Linked DNA regions of Oreochromis niloticus. The protein of the gene in region 2 purifies or fractionates together with the protein of the main gene of each other region. This does not show direct contact. Links are inferred from orthologs where the notes say so. Each region holds a gene or a part of one and is shown on either strand. Other genes may lie near its edges.

The links. Proteins that work in one complex are often made in the same cells at the same time.
Region 1: the proteins of psmd1 (region 2) and rad23b fractionate together in Homo sapiens (co-fractionation; 4 studies listed by BioGRID and IntAct, with this or other methods). This does not show direct contact. The link is inferred for Oreochromis niloticus from reciprocal best matches to the Homo sapiens genes PSMD1 and RAD23B.

Annotation. Positions count from the first base shown.
Region 1 is NC_031972.2:18,813,093-18,820,173, forward strand, and holds the start of rad23b (UV excision repair protein RAD23 homolog B), read right to left. Parts: upstream 3,015-7,081; 5' UTR 2,872-3,014; coding exon 2,806-2,871; intron 2,656-2,805; exon of another isoform or gene 2,544-2,655; intron 1,931-2,543; coding exon 1,849-1,930; intron 1-1,848. UniProt on the Homo sapiens protein: Multiubiquitin chain receptor involved in modulation of proteasomal degradation. Binds to polyubiquitin chains.
Region 2 is NC_031980.2:35,588,551-35,596,394, reverse strand, and holds the start of psmd1 (26S proteasome non-ATPase regulatory subunit 1), read left to right. Parts: upstream 1-4,838; 5' UTR 4,839-5,018; coding exon 5,019-5,034; intron 5,035-5,628; coding exon 5,629-5,672; intron 5,673-5,939; coding exon 5,940-6,013; intron 6,014-6,314; coding exon 6,315-6,484; intron 6,485-6,658; coding exon 6,659-6,867; intron 6,868-7,015; coding exon 7,016-7,159; intron 7,160-7,844. Other genes in the region: uncharacterized protein C2orf72, read left to right, coding at 2,188-2,953, 3,497-3,610, 3,709-3,806.

The DNA of each region.
Region 1 (7,081 bases), on a different chromosome or scaffold from region 2:
AATCAAGGCTTTAGTGACTAAAGTTCAAAGGTTCTCAGGGCAGCACTGAATACCTTTTTGTGACCAATTCCATATAGCCACTGCCAGTAACATCCTGCAACCACTTGCCAGCTGGTCGGGGAATGCACATTTTCCCTAGCAACAGGTGATAACCAGTGGGTCGCTGACAGCAGGTTGCTAACTGGTCATTACGTCTGTGTAGAGCTGGGCGATATATCGAGTTTTTTAAAAATATCGATTTATTTTTATACCAGATATAAGATGTGACAATATCCTTTATATTGATATAGTCTATGTTACGTTATAATTATAGTTGCGGAGCCGCAAGTTTGCCTCTCTTTCGTCCACTTTTGTCTTTACGCAACGTTACTCGACCTCGCCTCTCCTTCACTGAACACAACTCCCCCTCCTCCCCCATTGCTTCACCTGCAGGCAGCGACAAGATGGACACGGCAAATCTCCATTAATGAGTTACTGCGCGTCGCCCCGTGCGTGGGGCTGGACGGCGTCAACGTGTTAACGAGCTAGCCACGCTAACGCCATGCACGGCCTGAAATCCTTTCATTTTCTCAAAAGTTGACTGCGCGCCTTTTGTATGAATTCTGGTTGTGCTTGATGACCGCGAACCGATTTTATGTGATACACAGCGCTCAGCAATCTGTCAAAAAATGTTTTAGTTCGACTTTGGTAAGTTACGGAGCTGTACCGCTTGACGGATTGTCGGAGCATTACGGCTACCGAGGAGCCTCGCGGAGTAATACGTACTGTGCTTCAACGTAATATTACCGTATTGTGTGTGTATAAGGACCATAAATGGCATCTGTTCAGAGACATGGTTACGAAGCGGATTTCAAACTCCAGGCTGTCAGTCATGCAGTAGAAGTTGGGAACAGAGCAGCTGTGAAATCTGTCTATGTTATTATGCTCAGCGTCTTTTAGTTTACATTTTGACTGCACAATAGTGAGCTCTTTGTTATGCACAAAACAACATAGTTTTCTTTTATTTATAGAGCATCATTATTTAATAAATGCTCATAATTTATTTTTGAGTAGTGTTTTTTCATGTACATCTATGCTGTATGTTAATAAAAGTGCCCGTGTGACATCTGGGACACAGCTTTGACTAAGAACTCTCTTTTTGTTCTTACTTTATGGCTTTAAAAAAATATCGAGATATATATCTTATATCGCCATCCAGCTAAAAAATATCGAGATATGAATTTTGGGTCATATCGCCCAGCTCTACGTCTGTGTGACTAGAGCCTAAAATACCAATAATGGTTTAAAAGCATAGATGCAAAAACCAACAAAAACTGGGACTTCAGTCTCAACAGCGGCTCTGCAATGGTCGTCTTTCATTGAACTGTAAATCTAAAAAAAAGCCCTAGCCTACAACCTACAACTCAAAAAGAAAAAGAAAACATCAGCTCCTGCATATATAGCAACACTACTGAGACCTTATAACAGCAGTCAACCTCTGATAATCTGATCAGGGTCTTTTAACAGTTCCCTGCCCTCATGTTAAATCTCAAGGTGATCATACTTTTGAGGCTGTAGCTCTGGACCAGTGTTGTTTAAACGACTGTTAGTGTTTCCTTAATCGTTCACTCATGTTTCATTATGCGTGTATTGGAGTTGTGTGTATGTAGGACTGAATGTAAGCCAATGTTTGCATGTTTGATTATGTACACTCATCTTTAATGTGTGATTTTATCCAAACTTTGAAGCACTTTGTAACTGTGTGCTTAAAAAGGGCTATACGAATAAAATTCTTCTTTTTTTTAAATTAATATTTCCTTGAAGAAAGAAAGAAAATTAGTTAAGAAGATACAAGAGCATATAACATACCAGCATAAATCAGTTTCTGTCCGGCAACTGAAAAAATTTCCTTCCCCTTTTCCTGCTCAATCCTCTCTTTCAATGTCCTCACCTGTGAAATAAACATATACACTTTTACTTCATATTTTCATCCCTTACCAACAAAACCATTAACATTTTTTACTGGAACCATTTTGTCCAGCCCTGCAACGCTAACAGGAGTAAAAGTCCAAAGTGTGACCCAACTGCTAGCACAATTATAAAACTACACGCTGAGCGAACATCAGCGGTGTCATCGGTGATTATGCAAAACCATACATTTAAAAGCAGTGCAACGCTACCTATAATCTGGCGACTAATATGCATACAAGAAGTCGAAAGTAAAAGTTAAAAGTGTCTGCACTAAAGAAAGTTGTAATGAGATGTGCTGTACCCAGCCGGCCTTCAGCAGCCGACGGATAAAGCTAACGCTAGCTCACAGATTTATATATTTGGCCAAAGACAAAAGAGAGTTTATACAAGCTTAATAACAAGTACAAAATGTTTTAATGACTTTAAATAACGCTACTTTCTCTAAATGGCACAAACGTTTTCTTGTTTTACCTTAACCCAAATGTTCCAATTATAATAAGTTTTACAAGCTAACAGAAAAAGACCGAGAAACACTAAAATGGTAAGGTTCAAGCTAACCTGTCAACCCCACCCCGCCCCCCCGTAACACTCACATTTGGAGCCTTAAGTGGGCTACGGCTAAATGCTGACAACAAAAACAATTTCCTGATTGGTTTTTAAAAATAACACGCATCTGGATTAAGCCGAACTTCTAATGCAGGTCAGACGCATCCAAAAAGAATCTTACGTTACTACCCAGGCTTGCCTACAAAACGCCCAAACTGGAAATGTTCAAAACAAATCATGTCGATTTCAGGACATACTCAACTCCCATTCCACTCCCCTGTCACAAAATGCATGATTATTAACTCTCACCGTCTCCTCTTCATCGATGTCGATTTTGAAAGTCTGCTGCTGTAAGGTCTTCAAAGTTATTAGCATTTTGTCGGTGGAGTTTTATTATTCCTGGGTCCGGTTTAAACGCTTTAAATCCAACTTGCACGAGTCTTTACTGTTTTCGTTAAATCATCGTAAACTGTCAGCCGCCATGACGTATCGCTTTTCTTCTTCTATGTTAAATACTTGACGCACAGCGCTCCTAGTGGATTGCTTCGGTACTGCAGTAAACTGAGCATTGGCCACAATGCTCAGGTGTGCTCGTTGGTGAGTTTTCCAACACGTTTGATTCCAGTGAAGTATTACAATACAGAAACACTGCGAGCTGATTAACTGAAGGCACATAAATATAATCGGCAAAATGGCGCAGAAAAACTTAAGTAAGCCCAGAGTCTTGTGGATTACAATTTCAATAACATGCAAAAACATATTTTATGAGCTGATGTTTCATGACTATTTAAAATACCTGCAAATTCAGTATTAATTGCAGATGAATGTGAATTAACAGAAAACAGGGTAAGGTACAGGGTAAGGTACTGCGCAAAAGTCCAGAGTCACCTGTCATTAGTTTATATTTTGCTTCCAAAGAGCCAGACTTTCTTATACTTTTTCAAAGTGGTCTTGAGCAGGTCTTGGCTTTCTGAAGGTCATTTAAAGTTTTTCTTTGGACAATGGCTGCTTTTTCACTCATGTTTAGTCCTTTTACTTGACCATTTTCAGGGGAATGTTTGCTTGTTTGTTTGTTTCTTGAAGCACTTAACTGACCTATGACTCACTAAACACAATAAAACACCTAACTCGAGCGATGAACCAGTGTCTTTCTACACGTAACAGACAACTTGGCAAATTGTATTAAATTGTATCTTTAGGCACTTTATTACTAGCAGCCTGTCACAAAAGCACATCATTTGTTCCCATTTCTTTAGTTGAATCTACAAAAAATGCCAAAGATAACACAGTTTGACAGGCATGAAATAATATTTCTGTACCAATGAGATGAGTCCCAAAGATCTATGAGCTGAAAACTTGGCATATCTCAGCATGCTGTGCACTGTGTCCTTAAAGATTTGGATGAAACTAGACAAGTGGAGGAAAAAAAGATGTGCCAAGCCCAAAAACAAAACAAAACAAAGCAAAAAAAAAAAAAAAACCCAACATATCAGCAGATGAACAGTATCTGAAAGTCATGTTCTTAAGAAATAGGAAGTAAAAATCATAGGTCTGACACAGGTCTGATAGCTGTTGATCCATCTACTGTTCACCGAAGCCTCGTCAGGAAAGAGGGAGAAAAGACTGGACCGAACTGAAAATCAGCTGCAACAGAATATAGGAAGAAGATCAGGAGAGAGTATCTACAACCATCTGTCAAAATTGATGAATTGAATGTGAACACAGATAAGCACCACCAGATTTTGATCCACTGTGCAATACCATCTGGAAAGCATTCATTCAGCAGGCTTCATTTTTCAGCATGACCATGATCAAAGAAGAGCTTTGAATGTCCTTCAAGAAGTCGGGAGAGCGATTCCTGAAGGCTATTTCAAGAAAGCTTGCCTAAGTTCTGGCTTTGTTGAAGAAAAAGGCAGTCATACCAAATATTGACTTTCAGAGTCATTAGAATTTTACAAACTCAGTTTTCGTCTCATATACTTTACTTCTGGTTATGTCTGCATGCGTTTCAATAAATTGCTGCAGCTATTTCCCATTTCCTTGTAAAATATGAATATAAATGAGGGATAGTTCAATAGACACACAAACAATTTTCAGTGCAATAACAGCTCTTTTTTCATGGTATACATTTTACTTTGTCACCACAGGACAAACACATGAAATTAAAATAGTAACTAACTAAGTACCCAAGTAAGCCATTATAACAAGTCAAAAAGGCCTATATCTTCAATTTAATCCTTCAATGGTCATTGTAGCCTGTTGCACACACTCTTATTCTACAGTACTAACCTCTTCAAATTAGATGCAAATTGTTTTCAAAGCAGGGACAACATCATCTAAGCAGACTCGAAGGCTTGCAGTATGTAACCACTGACATGCAATGCATTACTTGAATGTTTTTGCTGCTTGTTCATTACATTTGTCTCAAGACTGACGTTTTGGGAAAAACTTGCTCTCCTTGTTAAACATGAGCTGGCAGTTTATTCTGTTATCAACCTTTCAACAATCCCAGGTCCTTCTGGCATGCATTGAGGAATTTCAATATCACCCATCCAGCACTCAGCATTCAGAGGTTTTATTGGTTTCTATCGTCCAGCTGCCCAGCCCTGACTTTAAACAGGACTGTTGAGTGCAAGAGATAATATGCTGGAGGCCGATGGGGTCTCTTCCCCAGGCCATTTTCCCCTTATTCTTATATCGCTCCCTCTTACTTGCAATGACTGTTTGTATGACTCTGTCTGTCCTTATCTACCACTCCTCTCAACTGCCTTTGTCCTTCTGCCTCTCTTGTATCCTGCCTTCCCCTCCTCTATCTCTCCATTCAATCCTCTCCCTCTCGCTCTATCATCCAGTTATTACGACGGGGGCAGTGCCCTCGCCTGCCTTGGCCCGTGCGCTCATCAGGCATTCCTTATGTTGCTCCACTCAGCAGCAGCCGCAAGAGAAGCAATAGTGTCCTCCTTTCCCCTCTCCCACTGTGGCTGTGACTCTTGCTCCTGTCTCCAGGGGTCGTCAGTCTGCCGTCAGCCCCCCTCTGAAGTGGAGAGCCACAGAGATTACAGTCTGATCCCTGGTGACTTCAAGATATTTTTAAGAGATGATGTTAGACATGTGAAATCAAGACGTTGCAGGCAGGAGAGGAAATGCGGCAAAATAAAGGCTTTCTGGAGGAAGACGGCGATAATGGAGCAGTCAGAGTGGTGCCTCTTGGTGATCCAATGTAATGGTGAGAAAATGAGGAGCTCGTGAAACATGAAAGCGTAGCTAAATGTACCTTCGGTGTCGGTGACTTGTGGCATCCAGAGCTGCAGCATTTCATACATGTGCAATAAACAGACACAAGGACTCACACAAGTACACAACAGACACAACTGGTATTTGCAGGGATCTGTGGTTTTGGTCAGCAGAGCTGTTGCAGGGTGTGGAGTGGTGTAGAAGCGCAGAGAGAGTGAGAGAGAGAGAGAAGGGTGGAAGGGTGGAACACAGACTGAAGGCCACTGAGATGCCTTCTCAGCCCAAAGCTATTTCCTGCGAACAAGGTGCAGGCACTGTTATTGGCTGGTACTGGGGCTGTGTAGATGTGTTACACTGGAAATCTGAAACATTGCTGAGTACACTGCTCTAAAGTTAAGTGCCAACCATTAAAGTTTTACGAAGCACAGAATATAATTCACCAGATGTGTGAACAAAGAATCCAAATAGCAGTAGACATTTCACTTCCATCTGAGAAAGTGAAATGTCTACTGCTGGTGGTTTCCGGATCTGGGTGGTGGCTGGCACCGTCAGATAAAGCCAACATGCAGTGTAAGCTAAAATGCACACAGTGATGATGCTGACATAGCCACTGCATTTTTTAAATAATCTTCACTATTTCAGTGCAGCATGTAGGTGTGCCAAGTTTTGCTAATTATCCCCAAGCACACAGCCGGGGCTGATGGCAGCGTGCAGCCTATTACAATAAATCCTGTGCAAAAAAAAAAAAAAAGAAGGAAAAGAATGCTCTGACCAGATCAGCAACACCAAAAGGGCTGGAAAACCACAGAAGATAAGTGAAGTGGATGATCGCAGAATTCTTTCTTTGGTTAACTAAAAAGACTTCATGAAACCAAGATGGACATGCCCTAGAATTGTTGTGCTGATGACCCCCTACCCAAGGATTTTCTTGCCCTAATTGACTCTTTTAACCTTACACAGTGGGTCAGGGAACCAACTCATCTTAAAGGCCATACTTTGGATTTGGTCCTCTCATATGCGTTGGATATTTCTACTATGGACATTGATAATGCTGGTATTTCTGACCATTTTTTGGTCATGTTTGATGTTGAGCTATGTGCAATTGATTTAAATTCTAAAGGCTGTCATCGCCCTGTACGTATCATTAATTCTGAGACTGTGGCTAACTTCATTACGACCTTTCTAAACTTTGCCTTTTTTGATCCTGATTTCACTGATATTAACTGTTACACACCTCCACTGGTTGATGATTTTGCCAACGCTATGCTATCCACCTGTTGTTCCATCTTAGATACTGTGGCCCCTATAAAGATGAAACGTCCCAGAACTTCTCATCAACCATGGCTAAATG
Region 2 (7,844 bases):
AAGAGAAATAAGAAAAACTCCAAAGTTTCTAATTACATGATTAAAAAATAATAATAAAAAAAATCACAAGAAGAAATGTTGCAGGATAAGTGTGTTCTTTCAGAGGAAAAATGCTTTCAAAGAGCAGCTGTGGTCAGAGTGCAGAAAGAGTGAAGTCTTAGTCATTGTTTATCACTGGTTTATTATTACTAGAAAAAGCATCATGTTCTTGTGAAATGAGTGACCTGACTTGAGTCAGTAAGCTGGAATGAAAAGCTGTTGATTTTTTTCATTTTTAAGAAAATGTGTTGAAGAGTTACAGTGAGGCATGTAAAAAGAAGAGTAAATAAACAGGCTTATTTTTAATATCTAATAACCAGATGCACTCATTTGTCTATCCAGGTATGCTTTTACTGCATTTGCAGCGTGTTTGGCATCATTTTCCTGCTGAAACATGAAGTTGCTGCCAGTCAGATGTTTTCTAGATTGTATTGAATGGTGGATCAAAATCTGATGGTACTTTTCTTTATTCATAATTCCATCAATTTTGACAAGATCCCCATGACAGAGCCTCCACTGTGTTTTACTGGTGCCCTTGGTCCTCTGACCTCCTCCATGCATACTGATGATGATTTGACTCCATAAGGCATGTTGCCACTGATTTTCAGTTCAGTTCTTGTGTATTTTGGCATTTGTTTTTTTCTTATTTCTTAAGGGCATTTCAAATGCTTTAATCTGTTGTAGATATTTTTTTAGATGTTCAGCGTCTTCTTTGGTCCTTCGCCTTTCCAGTTTCCTCAGACTAATCAAACTGTGTTATCACTGCCATTTTAGAAATTTAGAAAGCCTGATGAGGGATGGCTCGAGACTTCTGCACAGAACTTATCTGGAAATGAGGCTTTTTTCAACAATATGTAAAAAGTGCAGAAAAATTGATGCAACTTTTCAAGGGTGATAACAGTGCAATTTCTTGTTTTGAACTTCGCTTTGGACTTCATGTTATTGCAGTTCACCTGGGTCTCCGTGTCTGTCTCTCTGGTCAAAGTGGGCTTCCTGACCCCGAGTCTCTCTTTTCATAGTTTGAAAAGGTCAGTAGACTGACTCCAGCATACACAACAAAAGTACTGTGGGAACTGTCCAAAGTGTTGAAATGTACGCAAGACGACGATGATCACAAATGTGACCTTGAATTTGCTGGGAGAGAAATGTTGGTGGTTGTGCTATAAGCATAAAAAGTAACAGTATCGTGTGTATTTTGTACATAACAGGTTTTAACTAAAAAACGCTTAAAGCTGTACTGTTCAGTTACACTGCAAAGACATGACGAAGCAAGTGCACCACTCACCTAATCAGTGTTCAGCCGGTCTAAAGGTCAAAGGCTGAAACCTCTGCATTGATTTTGGTCCAACTTTATAGTTTATTATCCATCAGTAAACAATCTCACACAAACTCAGCAGCTGAAGTTATTCCACTTGGATTTCAGTTAATGAACTCAATGGCATTTTAGGTTGACAGCACCTTTTAATTTGAGGAACAAGCGTGGGTGGATTAAAGGATTAGTCTGAAGTACTCATGAGCTTGTTGAAGTAGAGAGGAGTTTGAGTGTGAAAGTCATTTTTTGATCTCATAATGAAGTCAAATACTTCCAGACTTGCTATTTTAACAAAAGTGGGTCAGACAAATAAACTTTTGTGCTCTCTGTCATTTCTTTTTTTCCACTTAGATAAGAATCTATGACTCTGGAGAGAAGTCGGGACTGTTTTCCATGCGAATAGTGGGAATAAAGAAAGTGAAGTCTACACCCTGAGGTTTAAATATCCACCATTTACCCCACAACCTTTAAATACTTATAAGGAATTCTTAGGGGGAAAAAACTGAACTATTTTTCCCCTTTGAGCCCCTCTGACTGCTGTTAAATGATATTCTTGGATAATTGGTAGTAATGTATTTCCAATATGTATTTCTGTCTAGTTATCCATTAAAGATTAACTTCATTATCAAGCTACTGTTGTTTGGTTATTGACGTTTAGCCACGCCCACTAAAAGGATCAGCCAATACAAATGCGAATAGATCCCCCCCACCCTCCTCCTCTTCACACACACCCTTCCCGCTGATGACCGTGAGCAAGTTTCACCGGTTCACTCTCCGGCAATGGATTTACGATTCATGTAAATAAAACAGATCGGCGCAGCTTAAATTGCGCAAGGATGGCGGACGAGGAGTCACTGAAGGACACGCTACCGGACGAGGAGAGGGAGTTCCAGAACACTATAGCGAAAATTGGAGGTAGAGAGAGGATTTATTTGGTGAGTGATGTCTGCAGAAGTAAAGATTTGGACGGGGATGACGCCGAAATATTGCAGGAGTTCGTACGCGACATGTTTCACAACGGCAGCCTGGTGGCAAACGGCCATGGTGGCCCCCAGTCAAGTCCGGCAAGCGATCATGGCGGTAAAGCAAGTACAAACCACGTTTCCAGCGAGGCGGAGACTGGAAAGGGCAATGAAAATTCTCTAACAGCGAGGCCCAAGGACTTGGAATTGGGAGAGGACAGAGAGAAAAAGAGACGACCAGCGGGTAGTAGCAATGCTCAGAGGACAGCAACGAGGAGGGCGAACATCCACAGCCTGAAGCGAGCGATAGACTCCCCTGTCATCATATTCATCTTCAGACAGACTTTCATTGGCCGAGTTCCAAACGAGGTGTGCTTAAAAGAGATCCTCAAGGATGTAAAGGCACGCACGAAATGCGTTACAATCGCTCGGCCAGCTCTGATTGGATTAATCCGCACAACCGACGAGAACGCCGAGACGCGCCGGTGCGCCCAGCTTCTGGAGCGTCTGATCCGCTCGGTGTTCCACAAACATGCATCAGAGGCGATATGGGTCGGCTGCTTCATCCCGAAAACAGACACCCGAATGCTCAGCATCAAGAAAAACGTCTGCAGAGTTATACATTCATCTCAAGCAGCAGGTGTACACACATTCCACTTGTAGCAAAACCTCAGAAAAGCCTATTTATTTCATGCCGTGTTGGAAAAAAAAACAAACAAACATGATTTAGTGTGACCATCTGCCACAGCCGCACACACCCATGTCAGCAGGACACATGCTTGTAAACATGAAGTTTGAACCTTGGCACATTTAACCAGGCCAGTATAGGAAAATTGTACAATGTACAGCATATTAGATCACCAAGAGGCAAGCAGCATAATTTGTCCAAGATATAATATGTTAACTATTATACTGAAGCCTCCACTACTCATAATATGATTGTTGTATGCTCACCAAAGAGCACTACTTCAATTCAAGTCCATAAAGGACATACTTTAATGTACTTTAATGAGAGAGCTCACTCTGTTGTGTAGGCCACTTCATGACACTCACAAGACCACACTGCACACATTTTTCTTCCCAGGCATGGCTGCAAAGGCCAGGGAACAATGAGAGCATTCACAAAACGGTCACCCCCTTAGAAAAGCTGCCACATTGTTAAACGCTTATTATCGCCTTTCAGATAATACTAGGGGTGAAGGGAACCCAGTTTTCTGGCCATTGCAACGTTGGTTCAGCCACTGGAGAAGAGAAGACCGAGGTCCAAACAGCAAATCATCAAGCAGCGGGCAAAGAGGTAGCTGCAAAGTAACTTCAGCAGAGAAATGCCTGAACTGCACCACAGTCCTGCAGTCAGTTATTTTCACTGCAAGTTCACAAGTTGTCTTTTTTCAGGTGACGCTGAAAGTGCAGAAGAGGGCATCCCTCTGAAAACCCGTGCCTTGTCTACTGGACCAACTCTGAATGGAGAACCATCTGGAGGAGACGGCTAATGTAACCTGTGTGCTTTTTAGACTGTGAAAAGATAAGCCGGTCTCAGTGCTTTGCTAGTGTTACAATTTTTCTTTGTGATGCTCAGGGACCCATTTCTTATGAGCCAGCATGTTTCTTGTCATGTCAAAGCCACCCAAAGACTGTCAGGTTGGAAACATGCATTAGTTTGTTACGTGTTGAGAAAGCATTAGACGGCTTACAGCATAAGTACTCTTATAAAATGATACAGGACTTGATTACTGGCTCACTGTTTGTCAGGGGACTTCTGTATGTCAAATACAGGGAATTAAAGAACAAAATCAACTGACATGATAAAAGCCTTAAAATGTGAAATCTCACACAGTTTACCTGAATCCAGGTCACGTTCTCGCCAAGAAAAACTGCACTAATTTTCCGGAAAACTGTATTAATTGGATCACAGGGATCCTGGGTGTTTTACTTAAGAATTTATTTTTCATTTTCATTAGGATTTTGTGTCTTAGAGACAACTTTTAGGACCACCAATATTTGTAACAGGATTTATGTCACTTGTATTTATGTAGCCTACTGACTTATTCATCCCTTTAAATAAACGTCATTGGACTTGCCTGAGTGTTCAGCTTTGTTTTAAAACACATACTCCTTGACTATTCTTTCAATAAAGTAAAAACTGCTTGGGTGACAACTAGTGGTCATTGAAAGCTGTATTGTCATATCACTTTGCATGAAAAACACGCCGCCCTTGGCTTCCTCGACCTCAATTTAATTGCCAGATGTGCTTATTTGCTGTTTGTAAGCGACTTGCCTTGTCTTGACAGAAAGGTAGAAGAGCTGCTGGGCTGGCAGGTCGCTATTTGAGGTGCCAGTGTAAAAATCGGATACATTCAACTACAATTAGAAATTCCCCACATTTTTTCAAATATTATTTATGTTATATTTATGCTAATTAGTTATAAAACTGGTATATGTTGGTCCAACTGATGAGTCCAGCATGAATCTTATACATTTTTTTTACGTTTTTAATCAGGCATAGTAAAAGCCGGCCAACCCGAGGGTCCTTCAGACAGGGACTTGCGGTGTTGAACAAAAAGAAGTTAGCAGCGGCTGCGTTCAGTTCGGTGGTTAAACATATCCAAATATTGCAAATCTTTTCTTTAATTTCCCCCAAATCACACGAAATTTCGCCGTCAAACTAGGATAAGCGGGGCCGAGGAGGGACCGAAGAGCCAATCATGATAACATCTGCCGGTAAGTAGTTGAAGGTAGCTTTATTTTGTTAGCCGTTGCCATTGATTTAGCTGAGTCACACGGCTAATACTTGGCAGCCCACCATAGACCGTTGATCACATATAAAACCACTAAAGTAGTTATAGTAAGGAGAAACACATTTCATTGTGGATTTTCCCGTGCTTCCGAAACGGTTTTAATCACTGCAAGGCTGTTTAAATGGAGGAAGTGGAAATAAATTACAGTAATGGCAACGTTAGCAGTCAGCATGGATCGTTATAGATAAACATGTTCATTTTTGCTTTCATCTGAGACGTAATTTCCGAGGACGTTATGTGTTTGAATACATCCTAAATGCTGCTGTCATCGTGGTATTGCTAAAAACAATCTTCAAATTGCCGGATTTTGGGCTGACATTATATTTTATCCTCAATAGAAAACAATATTTTAGGCTTCTGTATCTCCCCAGGCTCCATTGTAATCTAATGTATTCTTAAAAGTTTTTGTCTTTGATTTGCAAATGTATTTAATATTTGAAATGACCGTTGGATGAACAGAAAAGTATTTGGATTTTATGAAGTAAACATCCATTTCATAATTTCTTTTGTTTTCTAGCTGGAATTATTTCTCTCCTTGATGAGGATGAGCCCCAGCTTAAGGTAAGAGTTGGCTGTAGGGTAGTCGATTGAATATACGGGTAACGAGAGATTTTAATGTCTTGTTATCTCACCACAAGAGATACAGTGACAGAGATAAAGTCTCTTGACTTTTGTAAATTGTCAGTGTGACCCATCAAGTTTTGCTTAGAGATCTCAGTGTTTTATTTCTCTACATGACATAAATGTAAACTCATTTGGGGTATGCAGTATTACATAAAAGTGAATAAAAAGATGAATGTTTAAACAACACGTCTGTTTTTCTTGCAGGAGTTTGCTCTGCACAAGCTAGATGCCATTGTGAATGACTTTTGGGCTGAGATTTCAGGATCCGTGGATAAGATGTAAGTAGCAAAGAGCTTATATTATAGTTATTACAGTACTGTAACATAAGTCAGCAGGAACTTAAGCTCATAGTTTATTTCTATGGGGTTAAAGATTTAACTGACTCTCCCTGTACACTGTTGTTGATACACTGACAACAGTATTTACTCTCCCTCAAAGCTCCCTCATAGTCCAGTAACAAATGCAAAACTGAATGATTTTGATCATCTCTGATCTGATCTACAATTTACACTCAATGGTGATTAGAAAAATGGCTCCTGCCAGTTTTGTTTTATGTAACTAGTTGTTGTCTCCTCACAGTGAAGTCCTATATGAGGATGAGTCTTTCCGGAGTAGAGAATTTGCAGCCTTGGTGGCCTCCAAGGTTTTCTACCATCTTGGAGCCTTTGAAGAGTCTCTAAATTATGCTCTTGGTGCGGGAGATCTTTTCAGTGTCACAGATGACTCAGAATATGTGGAGACCATCATTGGTGAGTGGGGGGGGGGGGAGAAACTTCTTCTTCTCTTCTTACCAGTGCAAAGTAAAGCAAAAATGTAATGTTAGACTTAAGGTTTATCCTCCATTGCTTTCTAATGAAAAGTATGTATGAAATAAATATATTAACCTACATAACTTGTTATCTTTGTTTGTTATTCGGATGCAGCCAAATGCATCGACCATTACACCAAGCTGCGGGTGGAGAATACTGAGCTCCCAGAGGGCGAAGAGAAGAAAACCATAGACCCCCGTCTCGAGGGCATTGTCAACAAAATGTTCCTGCGTTGCCTAGACGATCACAAGTATAAACAGGCCATTGGCATCGCCCTGGAAACAAGACGTCTGGACATGTTTGAGAAAACCATCTTAGAATCAGTCAGTGCAGTTCTCTGCTAACTTGAGATTATTTTGGATCTTTATAACAAGTTTTAATAAGATTTACACTTTGGTTACTGCTGTCGATTGTTCAAGGTTATTAACGTTTCATCTTAAGAATTTTTTTTTCTTTTCACTTCCCTTCCAGAATGATGTGAGTGGCCTCCTTGCCTACAGCTTGAAGGTGTGCATGTCCCTGATGCAGAACAAGAAGTTCCGTAACGACGTGCTGAGGGTGCTGGTCAAACTCTACATGAACCTGGAAAAACCCGATTTCATCAATGTCTGTCAGGTAACAAATGGATTGTTCTAACACCCTAGCCAAGGAAACTGGCGTGGGTGATCGTGATTTCACTTCTTTTTTTCCCCCCCTCCAATGTTTTATTCATTGATTTGTTGTTTGCGACAGCATACACAAACACAGAAAAGAAATAAAAGGCTTTCAGGCACGAAAACGTACAGAGGGAATTGAAGACAGTGCGACTCTCGAAGTTCTCAAACATGAAGAAAACCTGTCAAGAATATAACAAAAATATATAAAAAACATTTTTGCATCTAATGGGGCCGAGAAAAAAGTAAAGATCACAGCTTGTAAGAGATAATATGGTATTATTGAAGAAAAGGCCCTCATCTCCTATTAAATCTCCCCTGAATATCTGGTTTACACATGCATGATTCTTCCAGTTGTAGAGAAGATAACATCCTTAATCTAGTTTCGTAGAAGAGGTATTCCAATTTATACGTTTCTTGGCAAGCACAATTCCTTGATACAGATGAATCTGGATGCCAGGTGAAAACCCAAGGGTTTCTACGGAGCATCCAAAGATCGCCAAGTTATTGTTAGGTTTAATGTCTCTGGAGAAGGCTGCTGAAAGCCACTAAAATGATGTTATGAGAAATGAAAACTCCAAATGATAAGATCAAAATTTATATGTAATCACAATCCTCATGATTCAAAAGAGTTCACTTTAAGGCAC